3 linked regions of the Stegostoma tigrinum genome follow. The protein of the gene in region 1 binds, or shares a complex with, the protein of each later gene. Links are inferred from orthologs where the notes say so. Each region holds a gene or a part of one and is shown in the gene's direction. Other genes may lie near its edges. The genes, in order: ras-related protein Rab-7a, rubcn and pdzd8.

Evidence for each region.
Region 2: the proteins of ras-related protein Rab-7a (region 1) and rubcn are in contact, whole or in part, in a crystal structure (PDB 6WCW), measured with the Homo sapiens proteins. The link is inferred for Stegostoma tigrinum from reciprocal best matches to the Homo sapiens genes RAB7A and RUBCN. Residues at the interface, in NP_004628.4 of Homo sapiens: Ile41, Gly42, Ala43, Asp44, Trp62, Gln71, Ser72, Leu73, Gly74, Val75, Ala76, Phe77, Arg79, Ser101, Asp104, Glu105, Ile108, Gln109, Ser111; in NP_055502.1 of Homo sapiens: His818, Asn821, Met822, Lys824, Thr825, Arg827, Leu883, Gln885, Ala886, Lys887, Gly888, Phe889, Ile890, Glu892, Gln895, Glu897, Ile900, Pro903, Cys915, Lys916, Arg931, Arg934, Arg938.
Region 3: the proteins of ras-related protein Rab-7a (region 1) and pdzd8 are in contact, whole or in part, in a crystal structure (PDB 7F6J), measured with the Homo sapiens proteins. The link is inferred for Stegostoma tigrinum from reciprocal best matches to the Homo sapiens genes RAB7A and PDZD8. Residues at the interface, in NP_004628.4 of Homo sapiens: Lys10, Leu14, Asp16, Ser17, Lys38, Ile41, Gly42, Ala43, Asp44, Phe45, Gln60, Trp62, Gly66, Glu68, Arg69, Phe70, Gln71, Ser72, Leu73, Gly74, Val75, Ala76, Phe77, Tyr78, Arg79, Thr98, Ser101, Trp102, Glu105, Phe106; in NP_776152.1 of Homo sapiens: Ile999, Lys1000, Leu1001, Val1002, Arg1003, Lys1004, Glu1005, Gly1007, Leu1008, Asp1009, Asp1010, Phe1013, Ile1014, Lys1017, Gln1044, Leu1051, Asn1054, Asn1055, Val1058, Leu1077, Leu1084, Gln1085, Thr1088, Ile1092.

Annotation. Positions count from the first base shown.
Region 1 is NC_081364.1:4,087,420-4,098,634, reverse strand, and holds the start of ras-related protein Rab-7a, read left to right. Parts: upstream 1-6,263; 5' UTR 6,264-6,430; intron 6,431-11,215.
Region 2 is NC_081367.1:48,820,807-48,831,509, forward strand, and holds the start of rubcn (run domain Beclin-1-interacting and cysteine-rich domain-containing protein), read left to right. Parts: upstream 1-5,857; 5' UTR 5,858-6,026; coding exon 6,027-6,094; intron 6,095-10,703.
Region 3 is NC_081373.1:19,476,395-19,486,639, forward strand, and holds the start of pdzd8 (PDZ domain-containing protein 8), read left to right. Parts: upstream 1-6,181; 5' UTR 6,182-6,346; coding exon 6,347-7,161; intron 7,162-10,245. UniProt on the Homo sapiens protein: Molecular tethering protein that connects endoplasmic reticulum and mitochondria membranes. PDZD8-dependent endoplasmic reticulum-mitochondria membrane tethering is essential for endoplasmic reticulum-mitochondria Ca(2+) transfer.

The DNA of each region.
Region 1 (11,215 bases):
GGCTGTCATACAAGGAGTGGTTGAACAGCTTGGCCTCATACTTGTTAGAGTTTAGAAGAATGGGTGGGGGGTGGGTGGGGGATCTTATTGAGGGATATAAAATGCTGGAAGGGGGTTTATCAACACATGTTCCCCTTGTGAAACTGTCTATAATAAGAGGTCATAGAAATAGGGCGAGAGGAGGTTTGCTCAGAACTGAGATCAGGAGGAACTACTTCTCTCAGAGAGTTGAGAATCTGTGGAACTCACTCCACCAGAGTGCAGTGGAGGTGGAATTAGATTTGAGAAAGAAATAGTTATGTTTCTGTTGAAAAGGGGGGACCAGGCAGGAAAGTGGAGTCGAGGTCAGGACAAGATCGGCCATGATTATGGTTAAATGGTGGAGTGGGTTTGAAAGGCTCAGTTACCTACTGCTGTTCCTAATTCCCATGTTCCTGTGACTCCCCCTCACCCGTAGTTAACAGGTCCCCTCAGCTGTGTCCAACCCATCTCCTGCACAACTGCCCTCACCCCTTTCTCTTCCCTCCCGCGACATCGTTAGGGTCCCCCTGGGGTCACCACCCCACCAACCTCCCCATCCAAAGGTTTGTTATGTGCTATTTCCATCACCTCCAGTAGGATGTCTCGACCAGACACATATTCCCCTCCCCTCCTTTGTCATTGTTCCGCAGGGACCCTTGTCCACTCCTCATCCATTCCCAACATCTTCCTCCAGCCCCATTGCACCTTCCCCTGCAATCGCAAAAGGTGTAAAGTCTGTCCATTTACCTCCTCCCTCCTACTATCCGAGGCCCCAGACACACCTTCCAGGTGAAGCAGCACCTGCAGTTCACACTATCTGGTCTCCTGTATTCGCTGCTCACAGTGTGGTCTTCTCTACACTGGGGAGATGAAATGTAGACTCGGCAACCACTTTGCAAAACACCCAAATTCTGTCCATAAAAATCTATCCAAGCTTCCAGGTGCCTGCCACTTTAACACACCACCCTGTTCACTGGCCAACATCGCTGTCCCGGGCTTGCTGCAGTGCCCCAGCTAAGCTCAGCACAAACTAGAAGGACAACATCTCAATTTCCGCATGGGGACCCTGTAGCCTTCAGGTCTCAGTAAGAAATTCAATAATTTTAGGGCCTGAGCACTGTCTTCAATGTCCTTTACCACCAGCCCCGCCCCCACACCCCCAGCCCTGTCATCACATGGGCTGCTTTCAACATAGCCAACCCATTTTCAAATAATCAGCAGCAGCAAATCTTCTTCTTGGGGTTTCATGTCAACAATCTTGTTGAGTGCCTAACTTTTTCTCTCTTTCTATCTCTCTCAGGACTCTGTTTCCACCTATCCGATCATTCCTTCCAAGGTAACAAAGTGTGGAGCATCTTAGGAGCACAAAAGCTGACATTTTGGGCCTAGACCCTTCATCAGAGAGGGGGATAGAACATAGAACATGGAACATTACAGCACAGTACAGGCCCTTCGGCCCTCGATGTTGTGCCGACCTGTCATACCGATCACAAGCCCATCTAGCCTACACTATTCCATGTACGTCCATATGCTTATCCAATGACGACTTAAATGTACCTAAAGATGGCGAATCTACTACCGTTGCAGGCAAAGCGTTCCATTCCCTTACTACTCTCTGAGTAAAGAAACTACCTCTGACATCTGTCCTATATCTTTCACCCCTCAAATTAAAGCTATGCCCCCTTGTGCTCGCTGTCACCATCCTGGGAATAGGGCTCTCCCTATCCACGCTATCTAACCCTCTGATTATTTTATATGTTTCAATTAAGTCACCTCTCAACCTTCTTCTCTCTAATGAAAACAGCCTCAAGTCCCTCAGCCTTTCCTCCTAAGACCTTCCCTCCATACCAGGCAACATCCTAGTAAATCTCCTCTGCACCCTTTCCAAAGCTTCCACATCCTTCTTATAATGCGGTGACCAGAACTGTACACAATACTCCAAGTGCGGCTGCACCAGAGTTTTGTACAGCTCCTCTACATTGGGGAAACCAAGCGGAGGCTTGGGGACCGCTGTGCAGAACACCTCCGCTCGGTTCGCAACAAACAATTGCACCTCCCAGTTGCGAACCATTTCCACTCCCCCTCCCATAACCTCTTGGTTCCGGAACTCGATCCCTCTATTAATAAAAGCTAAAACACTGTATGCCTTCTTAACAGCCCTGTCACCCTGGGTGGCAACTTTCAAGGATCTGTCTACATGGACACCGAGATCTCTCTGCTCATCTACACCACCAAGAATCTTACTATTAGCCCTGTACTTTGCCTTCCGGTTACTCCTACCAAAGTGCATCACCTCACACTTGTCTGCATTAAACTCCATTTGCCACCTCTCAGCCCAGCTCTGCAGCTTATCTATGTCTCTCTGCAACCTACAGCATCCTTCGTCACTATCCACAACTCCACCGACCTTAGTGTCGTCTGCAAATTTATTAACCCATCCTTCTACGCCCTCATCCAGGTCATTTATAAAAATGACAAACAGCAGTGGACCCAACACCGACCCTTGTGGTACACCACTAGTAACTGATCTCCAGGATGAACATTTCCCATCAACTACTACCCTCTGTCTTCTTTCAGCAAGCCAATTTCTGATCCAAACTGCTATATCTCCCACAATTCCATTCCTCCGCATTTTGCACAATAGCCTATTGTGGGGAACCTTATTGAATGCCTTGCTGAAATCCATGTACGTCACATCAACCGGTTTAATCTCATCTACCTGTTTGGTCACCTTCTCAAAGAAGTCAATAAGGTTTGTGAGGCACGACCTTCCCTTCACAAAAGCGTGCTGATTATCCCTAATCAGTTTATTCTTTTCTAGATGATTATAAATCCAATCCCTTATAACCTTTTCCAACACTTTACCAACAACTGACGTAAGGCTCACTGGTCTATAATTACCAGGGTTGTCTCTACTCCCCTTCTTGAACAGGGGAACCACATTTGCTATCCTCCAGTCATCTGGCACTAGTCCTGTAGACAATCACGAGTTAAAGTTCAATGCCAAAGGCTCAGCAATCTCCTCCCTGGCTTCCCAGAGGATCTGAGGATAAATCTCATCCGGCCCAGGGGACTTATCTATCTTCACCCTCTGAAGGATTTCTAATACCTCTTCCTTGTGATGGGGGATGGGGAGAGGATTCTGAAATAAATAGGGAGAGAGGGGGAGGTGGATTGAAGATGGATAGAGGAGAAGATAGGTGGAGAGGAGAGTATAGGTGGGGAGGTAGGGAGGGGGTAGGTCAGTCCGGGGAGGATGGACAGGTCGAGGGGGCGGGATGAGGTTAGTAAGTAGGAAATGGAGGTGCGGCTTGAAGTGGGAGGAGGGGATAGGTGAGAGGAAGAACAGGTTAGGGAGGCGGGGACAAGCTGGTCTGGTTTTGGGATGCAGTGGGGGGAGGGGACGAGCTGGGCTAGTTTTGGGATGAAGTGGGGGAAGGGGAGATTTTGAAGCTGGTGAAGTCCACATTGATACCATTGGGCTGCAGGGTTCCCAAGCTGAATATGAGTTGCTGTTCCTGCAACCTTCGGGTGGCATCATTGTGGCACTGCAGGAGGCCCGTGATGGACATGTCATCTAAAGAATGGGAGGGGGAGTGGAAATGGTTCGTGACTGGGAGGTGCAGTTGTTTGTTGCGAACCGAGCGGAGGTGTTCTGCAAAGCGGTCTCCAAGCCTCTGCTTGGTTTCCCCAATGTAGAGGAAGCCACACCGGGTACAGCGGATACAGTATAACACATTGGCAGATGTGCAGGTAAACCTCTGCTTAATGTGGAATGTCATCTTGGGGCCTGGGATAGGGGTGAGGGGGGAGGTGTGGGGGCAAGTGTAGCACTTCCTGTGGTTGCAGGGGAAGGTGCCGGGTGTGGTGGGGTTGGAGGGCAGTGTGGAGCGAACAAGGGAGTCATGGAGAGAGTGGTCTCTCCGGAAGGCAGACAAGGGTGGGGATGGAAAAATGTCTTTGGTGTTGGGGTCGGATTGTTTTGCGGCTTCAGTTCCCATTATCTCCGATCACTCCTTCCAACTTGCTCACGCCGAACCCGCCAGCCTCACTCAAGCCCTGTCATCAAAATAAGTAACACTTTCCCAGATGCTGAAGGAGATTCGCTGGATTTGAAACATTAACTCTGTTTCTCTCATCAAAGATGCCACCAGGCCTGCTGAGTTTCTCCAGCATTTTCTGAGTATGTTTCACATCCCTAGTGTCCGCAGTTCTTTGCTGAATCATTGCCTCCGTTGGCTCTTTTCCTTCCTAGTTCTAAATAGTCACATTATAAATCCTTTGTAATCCAGAAATGTCCATGCATGTCCATATTCCAATTCTAATCATTCACAAACTTATACATCCTAACAAACAGCACCTTTCACATCCACTAAAGTACTCAAAAAAACTTACAGCCAATGAAGTCTCTTTTGAGGTGATATAAGTGGGAAAGGAGCCAGCCAGCTAAATCCCTTTTTCTGGTTTTCGCCCAGGACCATTAGTGAGTTCCAGATATCTACATGCTCTCAGTGAAAAGCATTTTTCACAAATCCCCCTCTAAGCCTGCTTCTCCTTACATTACCTTAGCCAGTCCCACTTCTTATCCCTCTTCCACACACCAACTGTAACCTTCGATCTGATTTATTGCTGTCACATGTACCTAAGTACAGTGAGAAGTTTTGCTTTGCATGCAGAACTGGCAGATCATAACATACAAAGACATACAGATCATAGGGAGATTGAATACACGGAGGTGTACACAGTTATGGTTGCACAGGAAGTGTACAAAAGCAAGATTAACATTAGATGTGAAACTTGAGAGGTCTGTGCAGCAGCCAAATAGCAACAGGGAAGAAGCTTTTCATAAACCTGTTGGTACATGTGTTTAAACTTCTGTATCTTCTGCCTTACAGAAAAGCTTGGAAGAGATTATAACCAGGGTGGGAGGGATGGATAAAAGCATGGTCACGAGGAGCAGGAGTAAGCCATTCAGCCCTTCAAGTCTGCTCTGCCATTTAATATGATCATGGCTGATCCTAAATACCATGTTCCTGCTTTCTCCCCACATCCTTTGAAGCATTTAAAATCTAAAAATGTATCCATCTCTTTCTTGAAATATTCACTGAATTCGCCTCGAAAGCATTCTGTGGTAGAAAATTCCACAGGCTGACCATTCTTTGAGTGAAGAAATTTTTCCCCATCTCACTCCCAAACTGTGCTTGTAGTTCTAGACTCCCCAAACAGGGGAAACATTCTCCCTGCATCTGGTCTTTCTAGCCCTGTTAGAATTTTAGCAATCAGATTCCCTCTCATTTTTCTAAACTGCAGTGACAACAGGCCTAGTTGAGTCATCTCTCCTCACAGGACAGACTTGCTAACCCTGGTATCAGCCTGGTGAACCTTTTGCGCATTCCCGCTATTCTTTAGTAGTTATGGAGACACAACTGCATTCAATACTCCAGATGTGGTCTCACGTAGGCCCTGTAAGTCATTCGTACTTCTGAACCAAAATCCTCATCCATGGAGGTCAGCATACCGTATGCCTTCCCGTTTGCTGAACCTAGAATAATGGCGTTTTGACAGCACCGATAGAGGCCCTTGGGCCCATTTCGTCCACACTGGTCATCAAACACCAATCAATTCTAATCCCATTTTTCAGCACTTGGCCTGTAACCTTGAATGTTACTTTAGTTCTGAAGAAATCATACTAGGTTTGAAATGTTAACACCGTTTCTCTCTCCAAAAGTGCTGCCAGCCCTGTTGAGGTTCTCCAGCACTCAGCTCAGTTGGCTGGACAGCTGCTTTGTGTTGCACTAATCAGTGTGAATTTAACTCCCAAACTGTCTAAGGTCATCAAGGTCCTAAAATGCAACAAAGAACCACGGATGATGGAAGTCTGGAACAATTACAGATATTGCTGGAGAAACTCAGCAACTTCAGTTCTGAAAAACGTTCTCTGGACTCCAATGCTGCCAGAACAGCTGAGTTTCTCCAACACTTACTGTTTCTGTTTCGGATCTTTAGCATCCACAAATCTCTGTTTTACTATCAACACTCCCCAGCCCGTTTCAATGGTTTAAATCCTTAAGACCTGTCTTAAGATCACACTCGACTCCCCAGCCTCCCCCTCAACAGTAACGTGTCCCGCGTTTGGCAGGCGCTAGGACCCGGCAAGGTTGGTCGTACTCGAACCCGCCCCCACCCCCCACATGGCAGTCACGCAGCGGGCGGTCCTGCGGGGGTGACGCCATACGCCGAAACGTAATACGCGGTGACATCAGACGCAGGGTGCGGGTGATAAGCGGGGAGTCGGAGGCAAAGCTTCGACAGCTAGGAGCGGCCCGGCCCAGCCAAGCCAGTGACTTACCGAGCAAGACCGGCAGTAGGCCGCGCAGCTGACTTTTCTCAACCTCCCTTGCCCTTTCAGGTGAGTCTGACTCGGTGCCGGGTACTGGTAGGCCGCTCTGCCCGCGGGTGTAAAGCGCTTTTGGGAGAGGAGGAAGGAGAGAAACAACGGAGGCCTCGATCTCGGAGAGAGACACACAGGGCCCAGGGTCCGCCCAGCGGCCGCGCTCCCGGCCCTGCGCGCACCCTTCCCTAGCAACCGTCCCCGGGCTCTTCCTAGCAACGACACCCCCCGTGCTTGATGCCCCAGCGTGTGGGGAAAGCGGTGAGCCCTAGCAACTGCCCCCGGGCCCCTTGGCAACACCCCTGCGAGTGACAGGAACTCGCACCCCTTCAGGCCCTGGCAGTCCTGGCGAAGTAGCATCTGTGCTACATCAAATATACATTAGCATCCCGCTGGGGAGTTGTTCCCCTCCTTTCTCTTTCTAATTTAATAACCTGTGCAGCGCAAAACGCAGTATAATTACTGAATGACACGGTGTACGTGTTACACTTGCTTTCAGTTCTCTTCAAATGTGTTTTTTAAATGCTGGCTTCGCATTTTTCCGCTTAGATTTTGTGTGGATTTTTTAATTTCAGTGGGATGCATCTTTTATATTGTTGTGAGCGGCTTTCCCTAAAGCTAGGGCTAACACTAGATTTTCACGTAGCTGTCTGGGCTCTTTCGAGAACGCTATTAACCCCCCCTTCCAACGACAAGTGACGCTTGTTTTGAGCCGTCGCTGCTGTGTTGTATATGTGGAGAGCCTGTGGAAACTTCAAACCTGGCTCCTTTGTCTCTAGTCTTCGGGGTGACTAAGCTCTTTGAGCTGGTTTCACTTTTAATATCGCTAAAATTTTCATGTTTCTATTTAATGTTGCAGATAAAAGTATGTTGTGGCATTGTTTGCCAGTTTCAAGGCTTGTTGTTCAGGAAGCTCTGTAATAAATCGAGTGATTTGATTTTTGTTTGCGAGTAAAATAGGGTTTCTAAGACGCTTGTTTCTTCAGTAATACTTTCCTAACTAGAGCAAACGAGGCTTAATGCCACAGCACCACTCCAGTTGTAGTGTCTTATTTTGATCTAGTTTCTCGTCAACGCGCATTTAAAAATGCGACTTGCCTGAGCTGTCTGTATGATGGACAGCCAAATGATCTAACTGTGAACTGCATTGTTGTGAAACAGGTATCATGATGTAGTTTCTGTCCAATGGGGGGGTTGGGGGAGAGAGGTGGTGGGTGGTTGAGTTTGTAAATTGTTGCTTTTCTCGAAGTCCAAGAAACCTGCTCCTCGTGATTCTTACAGCTGATGAAACACATGACTTGTCATTGCACTCCTGAAAAACAGACATGAACACTTTATTTATATAAACTTCAGATGTTGCCAAGGGTGTTTTCTTGTGAACTGCCCCCTTTGGGCATATGTGGTGCTGCATCCTATGACATGATAAAATGACTCCTCCTTTTTACATGTGCTAGCTTGTCTTTTTCAATCTAAATACTTTAGACCTACTCAGATTCTTTTTCCAATGTAGAAATTGTCAGTGATTAAGTGTATGGTTTACTAAGTGTAACTGTATTGCTGCTCTGCCTGGGATCTCTTCTGTGAAGAGATTATGGAATAATGTTTCCTCAAGTTTGAGGTTGTGTAATCTAGTGGCAGGGTGTTTTTAGTTAGGGACCAATTGCTCAGCTTACTGGTGGGTTTTTCAGAACTGGGTCCTTTTTGTTATTGGAATGTTTAGGTCAGGGAGCAACATGGGACTTAATGAGCTGTAATATTGAAAGTGCAGTAATGGGAACTGCAGATGCTGGAGACGACAAGATGACAAGGTGTAGAGCTGGATGAACACAGCAGGCTGAGGAGCACAAACTGATGTTTTGGGCCTAGACCCTTCATGAGAAAGTGAGTTGGATACCTGACTTTCACCATGGATGTCCAGTCCCTGTACACTGGCATTCCCCATGCAGATGGCCTGAAGGCCCTCTGCTTCCTGTCCCACAGGCCTGACCAGTCTCCTCTCCTCCTCCTTCTTCCCCCCCCCCCCCCCGCCATCTAGTCAAACTTGTCCTCCCCTCAACTTCTTGATTCCTCCCACCCCCTACAGACAAAGGGGGTGGCCATGGGTACCCACATGGGCCCAAGCTATGCCTGCCTCTTTGTAGGTTATGTGGAACAATCCCTCTTCTGTACCTACACTAGCCCTAAACCCCACTTCATCCTCCATTACACTGACTGACTGCCTGCATTGGTGCTGCCTTGTGCCTTGAGGAGCTCAAACAGTTCATCCACTTCACCAACACCTTCCACCCCAACCTTAAGTTCACCTGGGCCATCTCCAACACATTGATCCTTCTCTTCTCTTCTTCCCCCCCCCCCCCAAAATCTTCCTGGACCTATGTCTCCATTTCAGGCATCACCTAGAAACTGATATCCATTTCAAGCACACTGACTTCCACAGCTACCTAGAATACACCACCTTCCTGTAAAAATTCCATCCCTTTCCCAATTCCTAAACCTCTGCCACATCTGCTCCCAGGATGAGGCATTCCACTCCTGTACACCTGATCCCTTTAAGGACTGCAACCCCCCCTCCCCTTGCAGTAGTCTCTAACACTGTTGACCACGTTTCCTGTAACTCATCCCCCCACCACACCCTGTCCCTGCAATAACTGCCAAAAGAGAATCACCCTTGTCCTCATGTACCACCCCACCAAGCTCCAAATCCAACACATCATCCTCCACTTCTGCCATCTGCAGTTGACCCCCAGCACCAAAGACATTCATCCATCCCTACTCTGATCTGTTTTTCAGGGGGACCACTGTCTGTGACTCCCTTGTCAGGTCCACACTCCCCTCTAGCCCCACCACACCTGGCACTTCCTCCTGCAACCACAAGAAATGCTACACTTGCCACCCCCCCCCCCCCCACAATCCCAGGCCCCTTTTCAACATCAAGCAGAAGTTCACCTGCACATCCACCAATGTGATATACTGCATCTGCTGTACCCGGTGTGGCTGCCTCTACATTGGGGGAACCAAGCAGACATGGTGGGGGGGGGGGGGGTGGGAGAGAGTGCGCATGTGCTGGTGTTGAAATAGCTCATGACCAGGAGGTGCAGTGGTTTATTGTAAACCTGAGCACATGTTCTGCAAAGCAGTCCCCAACAACATGTCCATCCTGGGCCTGCTGCAGTGCTACAACAATGCCACTTGGTTGCAGGAACAGCAGCTCATTCTGTTTGGGAACCCTGCAGCCCAATGGTATGTGGATTTCACAAGCTTCAATCTCCCCTGTCTCCCTAACCTGTTCTTCCTCCCCCCCCCCCCCCCGTGTCTCTCCTCCCACCTTGAGCTGAATTGCCACTTCCTACCTACTAGCCTCATCCCACCCTGTTGACCTGTCTGTCTTCCCCAGACTGACCTATCCCCTCCCTACCTTCCCCACCTGCACGCACCTCTACAGGCACCACCCCCACCCCTTTTAACTTGTTGGTCTCCTGTCCAACTATCTTCTCTATCATCTGTGATCCACCTCCCCTTATTTATTTCAGAACCCTTCCACCCCACACCCCACCCCCCACAATCAGTCTAGACCCAAAATGTTGGCTTTTGTGGTCCTTGATGCTGCTTGGCCTCTGTTCATCCAGCTCCACACTTTGATGCCCTCTAACCCATTAGAAGGAAGGTAATGCAGTCTAAAATTTCACTTTTAAAGTGAATCAACTGTGTATGATATCAGTAGGACTGGTTGAACATGAACACTGATCTAGAGCATCTCCCTCAGAGGAGGGCAGACTACTAAAAAACGTTTGAACTGTTAGATTTCTCAGTTGCTTGCCACTTCAAATGATATCATTCATGAGGACTGATGTAGAAAGGCTTGAGTGAAATGTGGTTGAGGGAGCAAGTGCAGGTGAGAATTAGTGGAATTAACTGCTATGAAGATCACAATAACTCATCACTTGGGTATCCAGTATGATTCAGCTGGCCTCTAGAGCAACTGTCATGGAACTGACTTCATCCTGTTTCCTTGTTGCTTCCAGCCATGACTGTTGTCCTGGTACTTGTCCTTCCTAACTTTCCAAAAGTATGAGGAATGAGATCAGCAATTTGGATATCTTGGCTAAGCCAGATGAAAGCCTAATTTCAGAAGGGAGTTGCTTTTGTTGGCCAGCATGGATGTTTTCACTAGGGGTTGAAGGGGTGACCTGGCCTTTAAAATTTAAGGCATGGTAGAGGGTGAGTAGTCTCTTTATCCAAGATAATGGGAACTGCAGATGCTGGAGAATCTAAGACAACAAAATGTGAGGCTGGATGAACACAGCAGGCCAAGCAGCATCTCAGGAGCACAAAAGCTGACGTTTTGGGCCTAGACCCTTCATCAGAGGGGGATGGGGTGAGAGTTCTGGAATAAATAGGGGGAGGTGGACCAAAGATGGAGAGAAGATAGGTGGAGAGGAGAGTATAGGTAGGGAGGGGATAAGTCAGTCCAGGGAAGACGGACAGGTCAAGGAGGTGGGATGAGGTTAGTAGGTGGGGGGGGGGGGGGGGGGGGTGGCTTGGGATGGGTGAGAGGAAGAACAGGTTAGGGAGGTGGAGACAGGTTGGACTGGCTTTGGGATGCAGTGGGGGAGGGGATGAACTGGGCTGGTTTAGGGATGCAGTTGGGGGAAGGGGAGATTTTGAAACTGGTGAAGTCCACATTGATACCATTAGGCTGCAGTGTTCCCAGGCGGAATATGAGTTGCTGTTCCTGCAACCTTCGGGTGGCATCATTGTGGCACTGCAGGAGGCCCATGATGGACATGTCATCTAAAGAATGGG
Region 2 (10,703 bases), on another chromosome or scaffold:
ACCTAAGTCCTCAGTAATCCTGGAGTAGCTTCAGCTTTCCTCATACACATTACCAGTTTCAACTCCTCCACCATCCACTCCACCTTGGCTGGCCAGCCTTTCAACTTCATCCACCATGATCTGATGCCGGTGCTGTGGAGTTCTGCTAACTATGACAACAAACCCAAAGATCGTGAATCAGGGATTCTTTGTTTGACTGGCATCAGTCATCACAAACGTGAAGGGAGATTAGGGTTAATGAAGTAAGTATTTGCAGTATTTAGATGGAATGAAACCTGAGGTTTACTTTTGATAAAGAAACCTTTTGTCTGTCTGCTCCTCCTTCCCATGAGACCTCTTTTCCAGAACACACCTTTGATTTCCCCAAAAAGGAACTGTTGAACTCCTCCAGCTGTCTTGCTTCACTGTTACTGCCTACTGTTGGAGATCCTGGCATAACTCCTTCAGCTCCCCCTCTCCACACTTTCTCTTATTGTCACCACCTACTAGTGCAGACTTGCATTCAAAAAAAGTTGTATAGTTTTTGAAATTTTTCAAAGAATTTGCAAATCACTGGCTGGACCATCATTTATTGGCCATCCATACTTGACCTGGAAAATGTGGTGGTGTGCTATCTTCTTGAACCACTTTAGTGCTTGGGTGTAGGGACACCCACAGTGAGAGTAAGAAGGATCTTCCAGGATTTTGGCTCGTCAACAATGAAGCATGAGCAAGCAATGAAAGATGCATGCTTAAAATACACATTTAACTACATTTAAGATGTTCTGGAAAGTTATTAACTTACGATTCACATAACTTGACTTAGAAAAGCTGGTAATATATCACCATCTGCATCAAACCGAAACTAGGATAACCGTCATCACTATTTTAAAATCCAAACCCCGAAACTTGTTTACAATCAGACACTTTACATCATAATACAAAACATAAGTTATAGAGGACACCTGGAAAATGTGTTCAATTTTCAGCACCAATTTTTAGGAAGAACAGATTAGCTTTGAATGAAGTAAATTTACCTCATATTGCACTCCATTAGTTCAATTACGAGGAGAAATTACACAAACTAACGTTGTACTCCCTGTAGTTTAGAAGGCTGTGGGGTGATGTCACTAAATTTTTTGATATATTCAGGGGAATCTGTGGGGTAAATATATAAATTAATGTTGCTAGTTGGGGAGTCTAGGACAAGGAAACAGAGTCTAAAAATTGAAGCCGCACTGAATCATAGAATCCCTACATTGTGGTAACAGAGATTTGGCCCATCATGTCTGCTCTGAACCTCTGAAGAGCATCACTTCCAGATCCACCCGACCCTGACTCTATCCCTGTAACCCTGTATTTCCCATGGCTAATCCACTAGCCTACACATCCTTGGACACTTTGAGCAATTTAGCATGGTCAATCCAGCGTGGATAATCCACCTAAGGCGCACATCTTTTGGCTGTCGGAGGAAACTGGAGCACACAGAGAAAACCAACCCGTCACAAGGAGACTGTGCAAACTCCACACAGACAGTCACCTGAGGCTGGAGTTGAACCTTTATTCTTAGAACTGTGAGGCAGCAGTGCTAAGAAATGAGCCATCGATGTTTCAAGACTGAAGTTAGGAGAACTTCTACTCATGAACATTGAAGAAACTTGGAATTTTCTTTTGCAACACTTATTACAGAAATAACATTTTTATAGCATTCCTTAAGTAATATAACACCTCAAGTCCCTTCTCAGGATCATTATAAAACAAAATATGACACTTAGCCACATAATAAGATATTAGGTCAAATCACTAGAAATCTGGTCAAAAAAGTCAGCTTGGAGAGGGATAATGGGAACTGCAGATGCTGGAGAATCTAAGATAACAAAGTGTGGAGCTGGATGAACACAGCAGGCCAAGCAGAATCTTAGGAGCACAAAAGCTGATGTTTCGGGCCTAGAACCTTCTTCACAAAAGGGGGAGGGGGAGAGGGTTCTTAAATAAATAGGGAGAGAGGGGGAGGCAGATCGAAGATGGATAGACAAGAAGATAAGACAGACAAATTAAAGGGGCAGGGATGGAGCCAGTAGAGGTGAGTGTAGGTGGGGAGGTAGGGAGGGGTTAGGTCAGTCTGGGCAGGACGGACAGGTCAAGGGGGCGGGATGAGGTTAGTAGGTAGGAAATGGAGGTGTGGCTTGAGGTGGGAGGAGGGGATAGATGAGAGGAAGAACAGGTTAGGGAGGTGGAGACGAGCTGGGCTGGTTTTGGGAATGCATTCGTGGAAGGGGAGATTTTGAAGCTAATGAAATCCACTTTGATACCATTGGGCTGCATCTATGCACGAATAGTGATTTAATCACAGTTGTTGGAATATCCATGCCTTATCCATTCAGTTTCAAGAATAAGCAACATCGTCCAGAAAGTTTTTTTAAAATGTGAAGCATTGGAGAAAGAAACATATTTCCCCCATTATTGGAAGTGTGTGTGTTTGTGTGTGTGTATGATTTGGGTGACTTGGAGGGGTAACATTTCTATTTTCATGTTACGAATTGTAAGTGTTAACCAATTCTGTATCATCACTGAATTTGTTTTTAAGATAATTAACAAACAGAAACAAGGAAACTCACCAGACCTGGCAGCATCTGTGAAGAGAAACAGAGTTAACATTTAGAGTCCAGTGACCCTCCTTCAGAAGTAGAAGCAGCTAGGAAAAGGTGTTATTTATGATGATTACAGGGCTGGGGGAAGGAATGACTAAATGCATAGAGATAGAGCCCAGTGAGAGAGGGAATAAAGGGTGGGCAGAGAAAGGGATTGTTGATAGTAAGCCAAGGAAGATGAGAAGGTAGGTAAGTGATGATGTGAACTATGAGTAGATGAAAACGAATTGGCTGTGTTGGAAATAAATCTGGGGTTGCACAGATAGGTAATAAGAAGGAAGGTAGTGTTCATAGTCTGAAATTGTTAAATTTGACGTTGAATCCTGAAGGCTAAGATACCAAACAGAAGATGGTGTTGTTCTTTCAGTGTGGGCTGAACTTTGCCAGAGCACTGCAAGGGCCTGAAAAATAAAAGTTGGCATGGAATTGCATGGGAAGATGTGGGGCGGTGCTGGAGTGGACCTGCGTGTCCCAGAGCGAGTGGTCCCTGCAGGATGTTGACCAATGAGGGGAGGGGAATATGTGTCTGGTGGTGGCATCCTTCCAGGGTAGGCAAAAATGGCAGCTCTTGATCCTTTAGATGTGGAGTCAGATGGTAGTATCCCACTGGGTGAGGCATAAATGCTACCTTTTACCAGCTGCTGCTTGTTCTGAAAAAGGATCACTAGGCTCAAAATGTTTACTCTGTTTCTCTCCACAGACGTTCTCCAGCAATTTCTGTTTACACTTGCTTTAGATCTCCAGCATCTGCAATTGTTTTAGTCTATTCGATGGGTCTTATTGTTCAAAGTCCAATATAGAGAAAGGCTAACATTAGCTATTTTGGGAATTTGGTTAAATATTTTTATTTAATGTTGTGACTGTTGGAGTAGTGAGACAAGAATGACCGTGCACTCCTCCCCTCTCTGTCACAACATAAAAGTGGGAGTTTGTGACATCTAGTGCAGACTATGTTCAACTGGAAGTGGGTAGGAATACGAAGGATAAAGGGAAATACCAGTTTCTTGTGCACTATGTCAAAATAACATAGGCATTTGTTTAGACCTGTCTGGAGGTGGTTACTTTTTCTAATCTCGCAGGAATAAATCTTCCAAGTCAAGGTAATTAGAATGGGTGGACAATTTGAACTTAAAATTAAAAGCAAGGGCTGGAAAAGCACAAGTGTTTGAGATAATAGCACGACATTTGAAACTGGAAGAATGGCAAAGGAAAACATATAGCAGTTCTGTAGAGTTAATGAGAACTCATTTGCCAGTGAAAAAGGGTTGAATAGTAAGTAGAATTCGAATTGAAGGATATTTTGCATTTTTAAGGAAAGGAAAGTACATTTCAGAGAAGTTAAAAAATTAGTCGTAGAATTTAACATGAGGACAAAAGATATTGTTTGAAACTCAAGAATATAGACCCAGTTTCCACAATCTCTCATAAAGCAATCCACTGTTCCAAAGATTACTCTGGCTAACCTTTGTTGCCCTCCATTCATGGTAAGCATATATTTCCTTGGTTAAATTAACCAAAATGGTATATCATACTCCAAGTGAGGTCTCACAAAGGTTCTGTACAGCAAGATATCTTTTCTTCTATACATAAATTTGTTTGAAATTAAGACTGCCGTACGATTTGCCTCCATAATTACATGCACACCTGCATGCTAGATTTTAGTGACTCAAGGAAAAGGACACCCAGATCCTCTTGCACAGCACTTTCCAACCTCTCACCATTTAAAAACAATTCTGCCTTCTTTTTCTGCCAATGTTAATAAGTTACATTCCATCTATTCTGCAGTTGGCTGAAGACAGACATGTTACCCAGTGTACAAGTAAGCCCTCTGCTTCAGCAGTGTTACAGCTCAACTTCAACAATTTCACCTATTCCATTTTGATTACACCCTTACACAGGGAACAGCTGAACTGGATAGTATTTTATGTTCTATAAATTCAGAGAATCCCTACACTGTAGAAACAGGCCCTATGGCCCAACAAATCCACATCAAACCTCACAGCATCCCACCCAGGCTCATCCCCCATTACCTACCGTGGGAGTAAACCCACACAGACATGGGAAGAGATAATGGGAACTGCAGATGCTGGAGAATTCCAAGATAATAAAATGTGAGGCTGGATGAACACAGCAGGCCAAGCAGCATCTCGAAATCTCTGATGAAGGGTCTAGGCCCGAAACGTCAGCTTTTGTGCTCCTGAGATGCTGCTTGGCCTGCTGTGTTCATCCAGCCTCACATTTTATTATCTCAGACATGGGAAGAATGTGCAAACTCCACACAATCACCTGAGGGTGAAATTGAATCCAGGTCCCTGATGCTGTGAGGCAGCAGTGCTACCCACTGAGCCACACCATTCTGGCATTTGATAGAAAAAAAATAAGAACTATGGTAGGTTTGGATTTGACCGTTAATGGCTTGACTATTTCACACAAGGAACAGTTCTAGAATTCTCCCCTACTCAAGAGTGTGGACGGTAGCTAATCGAAAATTTCAAACCTTAGAGCAATAGCCTTGAACTATCAAAAACATCAGTCAAGAACTGAACGTGGATAAAAATCAGTTAAAGATGAGCCATAATTTATTTGGATGATGCAGCACATTCTTGCGGTTGAATGATTTTGCATTCTTCAGTTTGCCAATCAAGACATCTAGTTCAAGAGTTTTCGCTTTATTAATAGTCTCAGGCAGTTAAAAGTGAGTGATGCGCAGTTTATAGCCTACAGCTCAATGAATGTTTAAACCTATCTGTTAACGGCGTCCATATTAGCCCCGTCAGATACGAATGGCACACTTCATACAGCATGTTGGCCATGTTTGTGTCCGGAAGCCGGTGTCTAACACACAGCGAAACAGGTTCGCGCCAGTGGAAGGGAGAGGCGGAGCAGTTGCTGAAGCCAGCTGGTTGGTATCCTGAGCGGTTACCATGTGAGAGATTGGGCCTGAAGGCAAGGCGCTCTACACGCGTATCGGGGGACGGTATTAGCTGGTGTGCGGCGGGGTCCGATTCAGGATGAGGGACCGGCTGGTATCTGCTAGATGTTCAGGAAGTGGCATTAGCTGGTATCCGGTTGGAGGTGAGGTTCCGGCCGCGATCCGTGGAGGCGGCGTTTTATGTCAGCGCTGGAGGTGGGGCCTGGCACGAACTGCTTTCCGGGTCGGTTACTGGGGCGGTTCAGAGCGTGGTATCACGTGGTGTGTGTGTGTGTGTGTGTGTGTGTGAGAGAGAGGAGGCGCGGGAGGGAGTGGCCGCGGGAAAACAGCCTATGGGTCGCTGCTTGCGACATTGAGAGCTTCGGGGTGCGGTTCCGATGCGCTGTGACGGAATTTGAGAAGCCGCGACGCAGAAAATCGGCATCTCTGGGAATACCCAGAGAGTCGTCTGAGCTGGTGGTGACATGTTGTCAACATGGAGAGAGAATAATTGGCACCAGGACATGGAGAGCGCGGAGGAGGCAGAGTGCAGGTAATAGCCTGAGACTGCTGTGGCCAAACAGAGAAGGTTAAGAGGTGACTTAATCGAGACCTACAAGATGATCAGAGGATTAGATACAGTCGAGAGCGAGAGCCTTTTTCCTCGGATTGTGATGGCTAGCACGAGGGGACATAGCTTTAAATTGAGGGGTGATAGATATAGGACAGATGTCAGAGGTAGGTTCTTTACTCAGAGAGCAGTAAGGGCGTGGAATGTCCTGCCTGCAACAGTAGTAGACTCGCCAACTTTAAGGGCATTTAAATGGTCATTGGATAAACATATGGATAATATTGGAAAAATATAGGTTAGATGGGCTTCAGATTGGTTTCACAGATCGGCGCAACATGAGGGGCCGAAGGGCTGATACTGCATTGTAATGTTCTATGTTCTATCTCAGTGCCCTCGACTTGAGTTTCTTGTTAACTGGCAGCTCCTGACTACAGTTTGGGGTGGGGCTAACCTCTGCCTCTTTGATGACAACAAATCTTGTACAGGACTCTGGTGATACACTGTTGAAGACTGCCTAGTTAACAATTACAATTTATTTAAAAACTTACTTGTAATGATGGGGTGGAGGCTGCTGTAACGATAGGTATTTCTGAAAGGCATTACTAGGCTCCTGAAAGAATATGTCAGTTGTCTTGATGGACAAATTCACAGCACGTTAGTGACCTGATCTGCAAAGTGAGACTGAGTTTTTACAAATTGTGAGACTTGTGTGTATGAATGTAAAGGTATTTTAATTTTTAAGTGTTAGGTCAGTGAAGAATTTTTCTGTACGTGCGTAGTAAAAGTTGAAGGCATAAAGGCAGATAGATGTCTGTGATTTGAATCCTTTAAATTAGTACAGGGAGTAAGGACAGATGATTGTTCTTTCATATGGTTGATGGCAGGAGTATGCTAATGAAGGTGCTACAGCTCACCATTTTGCAGTCACGTTGCAACTCAAAACATGTATTCTGGATATGTCTAATTTGCAAAATGAGTGGTGCCCTCCACGAAAACTGCATCTTCATTTTCAGCACTGATCCCTTTACCTGTACTCGAGCTGTGTGTTTTTGTTTTTGATTAGCTTGAGATGTGGGCATCGCTGGCCAGCATTTATTATCCACCGCTAGTTGCCCTTGAAGGTGGTGATAAGCTGCCTCTTGAATTGTTGCAGCCCATGTGCTGTTGGTTGACCCACAATGGTCAGGGAGGGAATTCTGTTTTTTTTTAACCCAGTGACACTCAAGGAACACTGAAAAATTTCCAAATCAGAATGTGCTAAGAACCAAGACAAGTACAGCACAGGGACATGCCCTTTGGCCCTCCAAGCCTGTGCTGATCCAGATCCTCTAACTAAACCTGTCGCCTGTTTTCCAAGGATCTGTAGCCCTCTGCTCCCTGCCCATTCATGTATCTGTCTAGATACATGGCAACATGTTCCAGGCACCCACCACCCTCTGCATAAAGAACTTGCCATGCATATCTCCCTTAAATTTTTCCCCCCTCACCCTGAAATCGTGACCCCTAGTAATTGACTTCCCCACGCTGGGAAAAAGCTTCTTGCTATCCACCCTGTCTATACTTCTCATGATTTTATGGACCTCAATCAGGTTCCCCCCCACCCCAACCTCTGTCTTTCTAATGTAAATGATCCTAATCTACTCCACCTTTCCTCATAGCTAGCACCCTCCATACCAGGCAACATCCTGGAGAACCTCCTCTGCACCCTTTCCAAAGCATCCACATCCTTTTGGTAATGTAGCAACCAGAACTGTACGCAGTATTCCAAATGTCGTTGAACCAAAGCCCTATACAACTGTAACATGACCTGCCAACTCTTGTACTCAGTAGCCTGTCTGATGAATAAAATCACTAATGAGCGGCGGGTGGCTTGGAGAGGAACGTGCAGGCTCTACTTCTGCCCTGAGAAGGACAATATCGTGGCCCATATGTGGCAGTTGTTTTCCTCTTGAACAGATTTTCTTGCTTTTAAGTGTGATTGTTGATATTAGTATGCTGCTGTAAATGAAATGTTGATTTGGGTTCGAATGGAATAATTCAGGAGCATGAATTAAATATTTTCAGTTTTCTGCACCAGTTCTACGGACAGTTTTAATTGAACATTCAATTTTGAATTGAGCAAATTTGTAGTGCCGAGTTACTCATTGTACAATGCGTAGACTAATGCTAATAAAAACTGTAATAAGGCTGCCCTTTTTAGTAATAAGATATTTACAGTCAGTGAACTTTGGTGTAGTTTGTGCTCCATTTGGATTTACTTTCTGGTGGCGAAAGTGTTTTGCCTACTTTACTTGTTTCCAGTTTCTCTTCTGTTGTTTCTTTAGTTATTTTCGGGTCCTTTTGACAGAAGATACAGAATTTATTCCAGTCCCCTTATTTAGTTTTGCAACTGCATTATCGTGTCTCTGGCAGTATGATTTTTTTCTGCTTAGATTAGCACCTAAATATTGTTGGAGGATCATGGAGAGGAACCCCACATTTCCAGCACTTTGTGAAGCTGGTTTGTTCTAATTCTTTACTTTGGTACATGTCACCTTATTTGTAACAACTGATGTTGCTCTGTTCTGAAAATAACAAGTGGTGGAGATCATAGCAGGTCAGGCAGCATGAAGAGTCATCTGGACTTGAAATGTTTGCTTGTTTTCTCTCCACGAATGCTGCCTGACTTGATCTCCACTACATATTTGTTTTCAGTACAGATTCCAGCAGCTGCACTAATATGTTATTATGTGCTGTTCTTTTGAGTCCTTTCAAGTCCTACCTAGTCTACCCTGCTCCTGTCAGCTAAGTGCAGTCTATTTTTATTGAATCATTGTACTTGTCCAGATATCTTCCCTTGTGTTTTTTGCCTTTTAAGTAGCTTTTTTTAAAGAAAGGGCAGAACAGCGTATTTGGACAACTTTGTATAAAATGTGATCTAGTAACTTTGAGTTTGTGACCGACATTTCTTTGCAATGCTCAATTCATTTTTCTAACCACAGGAAATATAAAAGGTAATTTTCTCTAGCTGAAGTATGTGTTAGTCTTAAAATAATTTATATAGCTGGCGCAAAGGCATGCACATTATTGCCATGTTCTTAAATGGCTGACTGCTTCCCTGGTACAGTTTTTTTTCTTCAGAGTTTGAACTTACTGAAGCCAGAGTGGCTCAGAACCACTCAGCCCTTTCTTGTATAATCTGCAGCTGTTTCTGTTGCTTGTTCTGCTGATTTCCCCAACTGCTTGCATGATTGGTCACACTTCCTTATTATACAGTAAGAATTCAGTTTTTGTATGCCCTCAGAACAATCCTCTCCCTTGCGTAACACGGTCAGCAGTGTACCCTTGAGTCTGATCTACTTTATTTGCATATTATGTACTGTCACTTAACAATATTGTGCAGAAACAGAAATCAGATTTCCTTGTGCGCAGTCAAAGCTGCCTTAACTTTCTACTGTGTCTCGATTTCAAGGTTATCGCTTGAACCTCCATTGCGAGTTGAACATCATTTTGGATGAGCCAAACGACATCTGTTTTGACAAGGGCCTTCACGTTTTTTTTTCTCTAATAGTATATTTCCTTTGCATCTACTTCCTTGTCTAATCTTCATCTTTTCAGTTAATGTTGACTCCTATGATGTAATTGGCTGATGCTGACTTTCTCTTGCACTCACCTCACAGGTCTCCCTGCTTCCACTCTGAATTGTAATTAATTCAGGGTGTTATAACCTGCATCTATCACTACTGAAATCTTTGTATTGTGATAATCTCTGTATTTGTGATACTTTCCTGTGATTCTGTACTCTTTGGACTTTTAATTTGGGAATATTTGCCCTTATTCTTGGAAATCCTTGATAGCCTCATTATCATATGTCAGCATTCAGGCCTATGTTACTGCTTATATACTTCATTCCTCCATCACTTATGTGCTTTTTCATGCATCAGGTTATTGCTTTTTGAATTCTCTTTCAAAATCTTAATGTCCCAGTCTCTCTATCTCTGCTTTAAAACTCTTGTTAAACAAAAGCTTGTATTGTCCATAATTCTCAGCAGTCAGTGTGGAGTTGGAGGAACACAGCAGGCCAGGCAGCATCCAGTGTATCACTTTCCACCATGTCAGCTACCTACAACCTGACCCCACGACCAAACAGAGTTCCCTCCCCACCCCTATCTACCTTTCCTAGGGACCGCTCACTCCACAGCTCCTTCGTCAGCTCAACACTTCTTACTAACCCCACCGCACCCTGCACCTTTCCCTGTAACTGCAGGAAGTGCTACATCTCCCCCCTTACCTCCATTCAAGGCCAAAAACAAACCTTTCATATCAGATGGGTGTTCACCTGCGCGTTTGCCAGCTTGGTCTACTGTATCTGCTGCTCCCGATGTAGCCTCCTGTACATTGTTGAGACAAAGCGTAGACTCTGAGACAGTTTCGTAGAGCATCTGCACTCTGTTCTTGACAAATGATGATACCTTCCGGTTGCAAACCATTTTAACTCCTACTTTCTGGGTGACGTCCATCCTGGGCCACCTCCAGTGCCACAATGACACCCTGTGCAAACTGGAGGAGCAACACCTGACATTCTGCCTCTGGAGCCTACAGCCTGCTGGCT
Region 3 (10,245 bases), on another chromosome or scaffold:
TAATCATAATTTGACATTGTGTCTAAGATACTTAAAAAACTAAACAAGAAGCAGCAATGCCTGCAAATATTGCAAATATCAATTCTCATGCATATGTACCAGAAATAGGATATGTAAATCAGTTATCTTTTAAAACTATTCAATATTTTACACCACACATACCATATTGTTATAGGTATAGATGAACAGTTTGATGTTAGTTTGGTTTGATTGTAGTGTTCTTGCCTTTGAATCTATAGATTGTTGGTTGTGTCTTCAAAGGAAATGTGATACTGCAAAATGAGATATTGAACTGAGACTGTCTCTTGTGGAAGTTGAGAGGATGTTAAAAATGTTAAATACCCCACTACAGTATTTGAAACTGGGAAGTCCTCACAAAAATTGATTCCTTTTTCAAGGCTACCACAAAATAGATTGACTGGTTATTCATACTTGTTGCTTCTGGGACCTTACTGCGTGCTAATTAATGGCCATGTTTCTAAATATAACAGCAACTGCAATTCAAAGTAACATATTGTTTGTGAAACACTTCAAAACATTTCTAAGAGATGTGATGGGGCACCAGATAAATTGCTAACCTGCCTTTCGAAACCAAAACTCTGCTAAAGAAATCTATTTATGTTGCGGTAAATGAGATCAATGGCATTGAATATATGCTGGTGTTTAGTACCTTATAATCTCCTGGTTTCAACCACAACTTTGTCAGCTGTGTTGCCAAAGCAAACTGAAGAAAACCAAGTACTTTTAAAGATGAAGCTAACATTATACTCGGAAATCATAAGGGAGTATAACTTGTTTTCTATTTAGTAATCTTTAGGTTTAGACTTTGTTTCTTGCACTGAGGCCCTGAAAAGTGTTGCAGAAAATAGAAACCTAACACAGGGTTCAGGAACATAATTCTTTGAAATTTGCATCACATGTAGACAGGATAATTAAGAAGGTGTTGAGCACACTTGCCTTCTTTGCTCAGGCCTTTGAGTATAGGAGTTGGGGGTGTCATGTTAAGGTTGTACAGAAGGTTGGTGAGGCCTCTTATGGGGAACAGTGTGCAGTTCTGATCGCTCTGTAATAGGAAGGCTATCATTAAAGTGGAGAGGGTTCATAGCAGATTTATCAGGATGTTGCCAGGGATGGAGAGTTTTAGTTATAAAAATAGGCTGGAACTTTTCTCACTGCAGCATAGGAGGTTGAGGGGTGATCTTGTAGAGGTTTATAAAGTCATAAGGGGTATAGATAAAGTTAATTGCTTTTTCCCCTAGAGTGGAGGAGTTATTAACTAGGGAACATATTTTTAATGCGAGAGGAGAACATTTTAAAAAGGACACGAGGGGGCAACTTTTTCACGTAGAGAGTGTTTCATGTGTGGAATGAACTGCCAGAGGAAGTGGTGGATGCAGGTACAATTGCAACGTTTAAAAGACATTTGGATACAGACACGAATAGAAAAGATTTGGAGGGATATGGGCCAAATACAGACAGGTGGGATAGTTTGGTTTGGGAAACTTGGCTTGCGTGGCCTAGGATCACAGAGTCATACAGCACAAACCCTTTGGTCCAACCAGTCCATGCTGAACATAATCTTAAACTAAAGTAGTTGGACTGAAGGCTTTGTTTCCATGCTGTATGACTCCATGAAATCTGTTTATGTTATCTTCACAAATAAACATACATACTTATTTAAAGACACCCTCGTTCATATTGTTTCTACTGTTTAAAATGATCATTGTGTAAAACTGCAGTTTTTCAACCTGGGAAAAAGGGCTTCAGAACAAAATGCTCAAATATAATTAAACATTTTACTTCAATAGTAAATTAAAAATATGCACTAATGTCATTGCTAATGCAAATAAATCAAAGGAGTTTGTCTCTGAAGATACCACCAGACTATTGGAAATTTCAGTGGATGGCACATGATATTGTTGCTGACATGAGCAAACATCTGATGATACAGACCAAAGATATGTCAGGATTAATAAAATAGGAAGTACATGAAATGAGTGAGAGATAACAAAAGCCATTGACCACCCCTTTCCCAAAATTGATTCTGTAGTGATTGCAATAAGGTCAGCCAAGTGGACCTCATAGAATATGAGTTTCATGATTGGGGTCGTTAAGCTGGTGCAATCAGGGAGCCCTGGCAGGGGTCCTGCCCTCTCTTAGAGCCAGCTCTAAGCTAGCTTGGTCAGTGGCACGTACTATGTATGTGTAAATAAAGGATGACTCGGTGACAGGGTATTGGCCTTTGTGGAGTTATTTCACGTTCCTTTTGCTGAATACATTTCCAAAGGTACTGAATGCAATCTGTCTGTTTAATAAATCATTGCCATGATTACATGCATTCTATAAAAATCTACTTTTCATGGTAAAATAATATTTAAATAATATCACCTCAAATTTTTTGTCAGACATTACCATATAAGAATGTTGCAATAACACTTTCACAATTTATTTTAACACAAACTGCATCCAAATGAACAAAATGGCTTGCTGGAAATTATCTGGAGAAGAGAGCTCCCGTTAGAGGATCTTACATTTGATCAACAAAGTTTGATTATAATTTACTGAGCGGTATCCATATTATTAATAGGACAAATGCAATCCAATGGCAAAACAGAACTTTTGCATGAGTGTATTATTTAAACCTAAGTTGAGTAAGAATATACAGGACCCAAATAATTTTGCCAGCTCTATATCATATATATATAATATACATAACTTCTTTCCACAAAGTAAAGTAGCAGCTGAAAAATAAGTTGTTCTGATTGAAGTACTTGAACATTAAAAGCTGCAGAGTCACACCGTGATGCACTAAGTATGGATCACAGACATTTTTCTTTTTTTTTAAAGAGAAGCAGAAATAAACAACTCCTCAAAAGAAGGTGTTTCAATTTTGTAATATGCCAGTCTTCATACAATTTCACCAACTGCACATGACACTAAGAAATGTTTGCTGGCACAGAATGGCTAAAGACCCTAACAACATTTGGCCAGCTTGCTGTCCCCCTAGATAAGCTTTTCCAGTTCAGCTAAAGCAGTGGTATCCATCCAACAGGGTGAATGTTTTTCTTTGTTATTGCTTGAAGAGAAAGTGGGTGTCACTGGCCAGGTCAGCATTATTGTCCATTTCTAATTGTACTGGGGTGTGAGCTGCTTTCTTGAACTGCTGAAGCTCTTGGTATGTTAGTCCACAAATAGCAGGAAATATGCAATTCAGTCAATTCCTGCTCGATCAGTCTACTTTCCATTATCAGTAATGTGTGGGAAGTCTTGTCAACAGTGTCATCAAACAACACTAGCACCATTACTACCTGCTTGCTGGTGCTCAGTCTGAGTTCCACCAGGACTACTTGTTTCCTGGCCTCATTAGAACTTGGTCCAAACACAGACAAAATAAGTGAACTCCAGAAATGAGGTGAGGTGAGTGGGATTGCCCTTGACATCAATGCAGTCTTTGACTTAGTGTGGCTCCAAGGCTGCCCAGCAAAACAAAGCCAATGAGAATCAGGGGATAAATTCTCTACTGGCTTAGTAGTATCTAGCACAATGTGAGATGGTCAGCATTGTTAAAGGTCAATCGTCTCAGTCCCAGGTTATCACTGCAGGAGCTCCACAGGGTGGTGTCTAAGCCTAAATATCTTCAGCTGCCTCATCAATAATCTGTCCTCCATCATGAGGTTAGAAGTAGGAATGTTTGTTGATAATTACAGAACTTTCAGCACCATTTATGCCTCCTCAGGTATTGAAGCAGTTTGGGTTCATGTTTACTGGACAACATTCAGGCTTTCACTGATGAGTGACAAGTAACATTTGTGCCACAGAGCTACTAGGCAATGGCCGTTTTGAAAAAGAGACAATCTAGTCATCTCACAATGACATTTAATCAATCCCCCACTAACAACAGCTTGGAGAATGTAAATTGATCAGTTATATAAATACTATGACTACTATAGCTGTTCAAAGGCTGGTGAACACATCTCCTGAATCCCAAGCATGTCCTCCATATTTAACTCAAGAGCATGATGAAATACTTCCCATGTGTCAGGACGAGTGCATTTCCAACAACACTCAAGAAACTTGACACTATCCAGGACAAGGCAAACCACTGTCTAAAGCATTGAGATACAGAAGCACCAGAAAAATTGGCAGCATTACATACATATTAGGGGAGGCGATGGCCCAGTGGTATTATCGCTGGACTGTTAATCCAGAGACCCAAATAATGTTCTGGGAGTTTGGGTTCGAATCTCACCATGGCAGATGGTGAAATTTGAATTCAATAAATATCTGGAATTAAGAGTCTAATGATGACCATTGTCATCCATTGTCCATTGTTGGAAAATCCCATGGGGTTCACTAATGTATTTTAGGGAAGGAAACTGCCATTCTTACTTGGTCTGACTCCAGACCCACAGCAAAGTGGTTGACTCTTAACTACTCTCTGGGATGGGCAATAAATGCTGCCTTGCTAGCAATGCCCTCATCCCACGAATAAATAAAGGATATACAAGATGCACTACAATAGCATATTTCAACCTGTATTCCCCTGCCGCCTATGGCCTCTATGATCTCGGAGATAAAGGGCTGCAATTTGTAAGTTGCCCTCCAAACCACCAATTGTCCTGACTTTGAATTACATTGCCATTCTTTCAATGATGCTCAGCTAAAATCCTGGGACTTCCTTTGTAAGAGCACTGAGGGTATACCCAATGTCTTCCCACCACAGGCTGCTATGATTTACTACCTGCTTCTCGGGGCAATTAGGGATGGGTAACAAATGCTAGTCTAGCCACTGATGCCCTATATCCCGTGACTGAATAAAAAAAGTTACCATTTGTTTGATAACCTGATTAAAGATGCAGTTCATATAGCCTCCCTATAATCATCTCTTTTGCCACTCGATAATAATCGCGCACCAGAACACAGGTTGAACACACCAAAGTTAAAAGAAACTGAACTGGCTGCAGTTCCAAGAAAATCGTGTTTATGTTTTGGGATGTCACTGCGTAGACCCTAGATGATTCAGAACCGTTGCAAGTGCGTTTATCCAGTGGCTAGCACGTCATATTCCAAACTTAAGAAAGAAACGCATTTTTGAAAATTTAAATTGAAGCGCCGGGGCGTCAATTGAAATGCAGGTGTAAGCAGAGAGCTTTCCGAAAAAAAAGCCGTCTCACATAGTAAAATAAAATTAAAAGCAGAAACTGCTGGAGGAACTCGGCGGGTCTAGCAACATCTGCAGAAAGAGAAAAACAGAGACAACGTTTCGAATCCGATATGACACTGCAGATGCTGCCAGAACTGCTGAATTTTGTCAGCACTTTTTGTTTTCGTTTCAGATTTCCAGCATTTTACTCTTATGTTAACATAAACTTATAACAATAAACAGTGCAGATTTAAAATGCTGGGGTCTTTCCCTTTGCTCTCATCAACCTCATAAAAGTGCATTCTGTAATCGCTTTTTGTGCTGCAACTTGCAAGTCAGCTGGAGATTGTCATCTGGGAGTCACTGTCGAAAAGGCTAGTGGCGGGGGAGGGAGCTGCAACGTTTACAGCGGCAGAGATAGAGCTTATTCACATGTGGCCATATTAGAAAGCCGCATTCCCGGCGAAGGGAAGTGGGGAAAACATTGCTGCTTTCCCGATTCGGGACTGGCCCCAAACTCAACGAGATTCCGAAATACTATTCGAGGTGCTGGGAACTTCCGTTTACCTTTTGAGTAAAATGCCCATGTTATTGTTAAAGAATTAGGTTGATTTATTGGTCGGGAGAAGTTGATTGAGAACAAAAGTCATTTTAAACAAATTATCAATCATGGGAAAGAGAAAGATGTTCATTTTATTGTTAAAGAAATGTTGATTGGGAATAGAAGTAAGTTTTACCATGTTCTGCTATGGTAAAGACAGAAAGAAATACAGGGATAATGGGAACTGCAAAACGAAATACAGGGCTCCGCTTTGCTGATGATATTCCGAGTGGGTCACCAAAGCAAGGGGGAAAGGGAAGTGGTTTTTGCCTTGAGTTGGAGAAGCTGGTGGGCGGTCCGGCCCGAACAAGGGAGCATTGGCACGCGCGCGCGCGCGCGCACACACACACACACACACACTCTCTCGCACAGGGGAACCTGCGGCGGGGAACGTGGTTTTGCGGCTGCGGCGGGGGCGCGCTGCGTGTGCACGCTGTACGGGGGAAGGAGGAAGAGTGGGGAAGAAGCACCAGCAGCTCATCTCATTTGTATTGCCGGGGATGGGCCATGTAAACACGGAGCAGTGAGAACATCAGCAGGAGGACCCAGAGAGAGAAAAGAACATGGTCCCGAGGTGAAGAAGGAATCTCTCTCTCTTCACCATGATTTATTTAATGCTGCTGTCAGCTCTGGCCGGAGCCCTGTGTGTCCTCCTGCTGCAGATTTTATTGCTGTATCGGAACAAGCCCGAGCCGGTGCCCCGGCATGTGCAGTACGTCAAGCCGGTGGTCGAGCCCTCGCTCAAGGACTACCTGAGTAGCGGGAAGGAACCTCCGGCCGAGAGCTGCCACTTTCTCAACGCCATCTTCTTGTTTCTGTTCCGGGAGCTGAGGGACACCCCGATCGTCCGGCACTGGCTGACCAAGAAGATCAAGGTTGAGTTTGAGGAGTTGCTGCAGACCAAGACGGCGGGCCGCCTGCTCGAGGGCCTCAGCCTGCGCGACATCTCCCTGGGCAACGCGCTGCCCGTCTTCAAGAGCGCGCGCCTGCTGCAGCCGGTCGTGGGCCCCAATCCCGGCCCAGGCCCAGGCCCCGGCTCCGGCTCCGGCTCCCTGGAGGAGGAGGCCGCTGGAGGTGCCGCTGCCGCCGCCGCCGGGGGGATACCCGAGGAGCTCAACTTCGAGCTGGAGCTCGAGTACAACGGCGGCTTCCACCTGGCCATCGACGTGGACCTGGTCTTCGGCAAGTCGGCTTACCTCTTCGTCAAGATGAGGAGGGTGGTGGGCCGCCTCAGGCTGCAGTTCACCCGCCGCCCTTTCACTCACTGGTCCTTCGCCTTCATGGACGAACCTTTCATCGACTTCGAGGTCAAGTCGCAGTTCGAGGGTCGGCCCATGCCCCAGCTCACTACCATCATTGTCAACCAGCTCAAGAGAGTCATCAAGCGCAAACATACTTTACCCAACTACAAAATCAGGTATAGTCACAGTCAGCGACAGATGGCTTAAACTGTGTTCTTTGTGTCTGTTTGTGAGTGGTTGTTTGGGGGTGTGTGGGTGGCGGAGATGGCGGTGAGGTACGGTGTGGTATTATCCTAGCTGCAACTTTCTGCAATACCCAAATCAGAATTAATGGAGTCCTTACTGCATCATGCTGCTTGCGCCCCTTAGTCATCTCTTGGCACAATCTGTAAGTTACAAAAGGTATTTTTACCAGGCTGCTGTGTTATGGGGTTTAAAAGGGAAACATTCGTGAGACGGAAGTATCTCTGGCAAGTCCAGCATGTCTTACCCGTGCCCATGGGAGCCACTTTCGTGATCCAGTGCAATCAACACAGAATAGGTATGCCCACAGTGTTGTTAGAAAGACAGTTGCAGGCCACTAACCCAGTGACCACAGTGGAAACCAGAACATGTGCAGAAACCTATGTGGACGCTGGGAGAACGTGCAAACTCCACACCGACAGTCACCTAAGGCTGGAATCGAACCTAGGGCCCTGGCGCTGTGAAACAGCCGTGCTTATCACTGCACTCAATGATATTTTGATTCTTTGGGATTTTGACATCATTACATCATTTGTTGTTCACAAGTGCGCTTCAGAGGGTAGTTAACCGTCAATCATATTGCTTTGGATCAAAACTCACATGTTTACCAGACTTGGGAAGGACATTAGGATTTCCTTTACTAAATGATTGAGAGTTAGATGGAGTTTGTACTATTAGTTTTATAGTCACCATTATTAAGACCAGATTTTAATTCCAAATTTTATGAATTATATTTAAATTCCACCAGTTTCCATTAGCCTGAGTCTCTTGATTACTAGTTGACTGACATTATCGCTGCACTGCTGTTTTTTCAGTCGAGCTTCTTGATATTGAGGGGTTGCTCAAAATGAAGGAATCCAAATGCACCTCAATAATAAGGCAACCTTTTCCATTGCTGTGTATTATGACTCATGGCCATCTCTATAGTGATGTCATGTTTTGCTGTGTAACTTGTATATTATCGGAAATGTTGTTAACTGCAGTTCGCAGGTTGCTATTACCATCAGCTTCTCTGTCCACTTGATTCATTATAGTCAGGGGAGCTTTATCGGAAAAAGTTCCAGTTCAGGCACTCAAAATGCTGCATCTTTGAAGTTAATATTACGTGAGTGAGGCAGACCAGGTGCAGGTTGAAATAGATTACTTTATTATACTTGTCTAAGCACTGTGACAACTTAGGGCTGGAGAGGTGGGAGGAGAGGCAGCTGGAGTGTTTTGTTTGTCTTATCATTTGTCTGAACTGTTGTAGGTTAGCTCATTTGGCTGGCTTGTTATGCAGCATGATTCCAACAGTACGAGTTCAATTTCCCTACCGTCGAAGGTTGCCATTAAGACCCTGCCTTTTCAATCTTGCCTGAGGCATGGTAACCTTTGGTGTCTCTCTCTCTCTCTCTCTCTTCTCCCCCCCCCGCCCCCCAAATGAGAGCAGCCATGTCCTCTGGAGCGATGCTGACTTTACCATTACAGTTCATCTGAATACTACACCACTGAATTGCAATAAACAAAGTAAAAAGGATGCAGGATTATATTGCTTAAATGGGATTGAGTTTAACTCCTCTCTAGGTAGGTTGAATCTGTGGCTTGTCCTAAATAGATTCTGTTGTTGTAGACACTTCTGATGTCCAGGGCATGAAGGACGTGTTCTGATGTTAGATACACTAAAGGGAAGAGGAATGCTGCTGATCCTCGCTGTGAAGCTTCAGAGCTGCAAAAATCCATTTAAAGTAGGACCCTTTAGCCTTGAAATTGATATGGGGACAGCTTATACTTTGAGAGAAGGTAAATCTGAAACAACGCTGTCAGAGAAAAGAATCAAACATAATTTCATGGTTGTGAAGGGCATCTTTAGTGCAGACATCAAGAAGTAATTCTTTACTATAGATAACTGGGAAAGGATGCCAAAATCGTTGCAGCCAGAAGTTATTAACAAATGATTAGATGGAAGGTTTAGATCAAATAATTTGAAGGGGACTTCAGCTGGTGCAGTTTGTTTCATTCTAAACATGCCTGAATGCAGCACAAAAGTTCTTTATTTGATAAATGGTATAACTGAAGGCATTATTGCTAAGACACAAAGGTAGTTGGAGGGTGGGTTGTTTTGAGGAAGCGGGCAGGCTGCAAAAGGACTAGGCAGGCTAGGAGAGTGGGCAGAGAAGTGGCAGTTGGAATACAGTGTGGGAAAGTGTGAGGCCATTCATCTTGCTCGGAAGAATATAGGCATAGACTATTTTCAAAATGGGGAAAGGCTTCAGAAATCTGGAGCACAAAGGGAGTTTGGAATTCTAGTTCAGGATTGTCTTAAAATTAACATGCAGGCTTAGTTGGCAGTTAGGAAGGCAAATGCAATGTTAGCATTCATTTCAAGAGGGCCAGAATACAAGAGCAGGGATGTACTGCTGATACTGCATGAAGATTTATTCAGACTGCATTTGGAATATTGTGAACAGTTTTGGGCCCCATATTTAAAAAAGGACGTGCTGGCCTTGGAGGGGGTCAGAGGAATTTAATAAGATTGATCCTGGGATGAAGAGCTTGTCATTTGAGGGGTGGTTGAGGATGCTGGGTTCTGTACTTGATGGAGTTTAGAATGATGAGGCAGTGTCTGATTTGAAACTTACCGAATACTTAGAGACTTGGATAAAGTGAACATGGAGACGGTGTTTCCACAAGTCGGAGAGACTAAGATCCGAGGACATAGCCTAGGAGTTAAGGGATTACCCTTTAGAACTGAGGAAGAAATTCTTTTGTCAGAGGGTGGTGAGTCCGTGGAACTCATTGCCTCAGAAGACTTTGGAGGCCAAGTTATTGAGTGTGTTTAAGACAGAGGTAGATAGATCCTTGAATTGTAAGGGGATCAAGGGTTATTGGGAGAAGGCAGGAAAATGGTGTTGAAAAACACGCCAGCCATGATCAAGTGGCAGAGAAGTTTCAATTGGCCGAATGGCCTAACTCCGCTCCCATTCCTGTTTGTCTACTGGTATCCTGACACTCTTTCAATTCAACCACCTATGGGGACT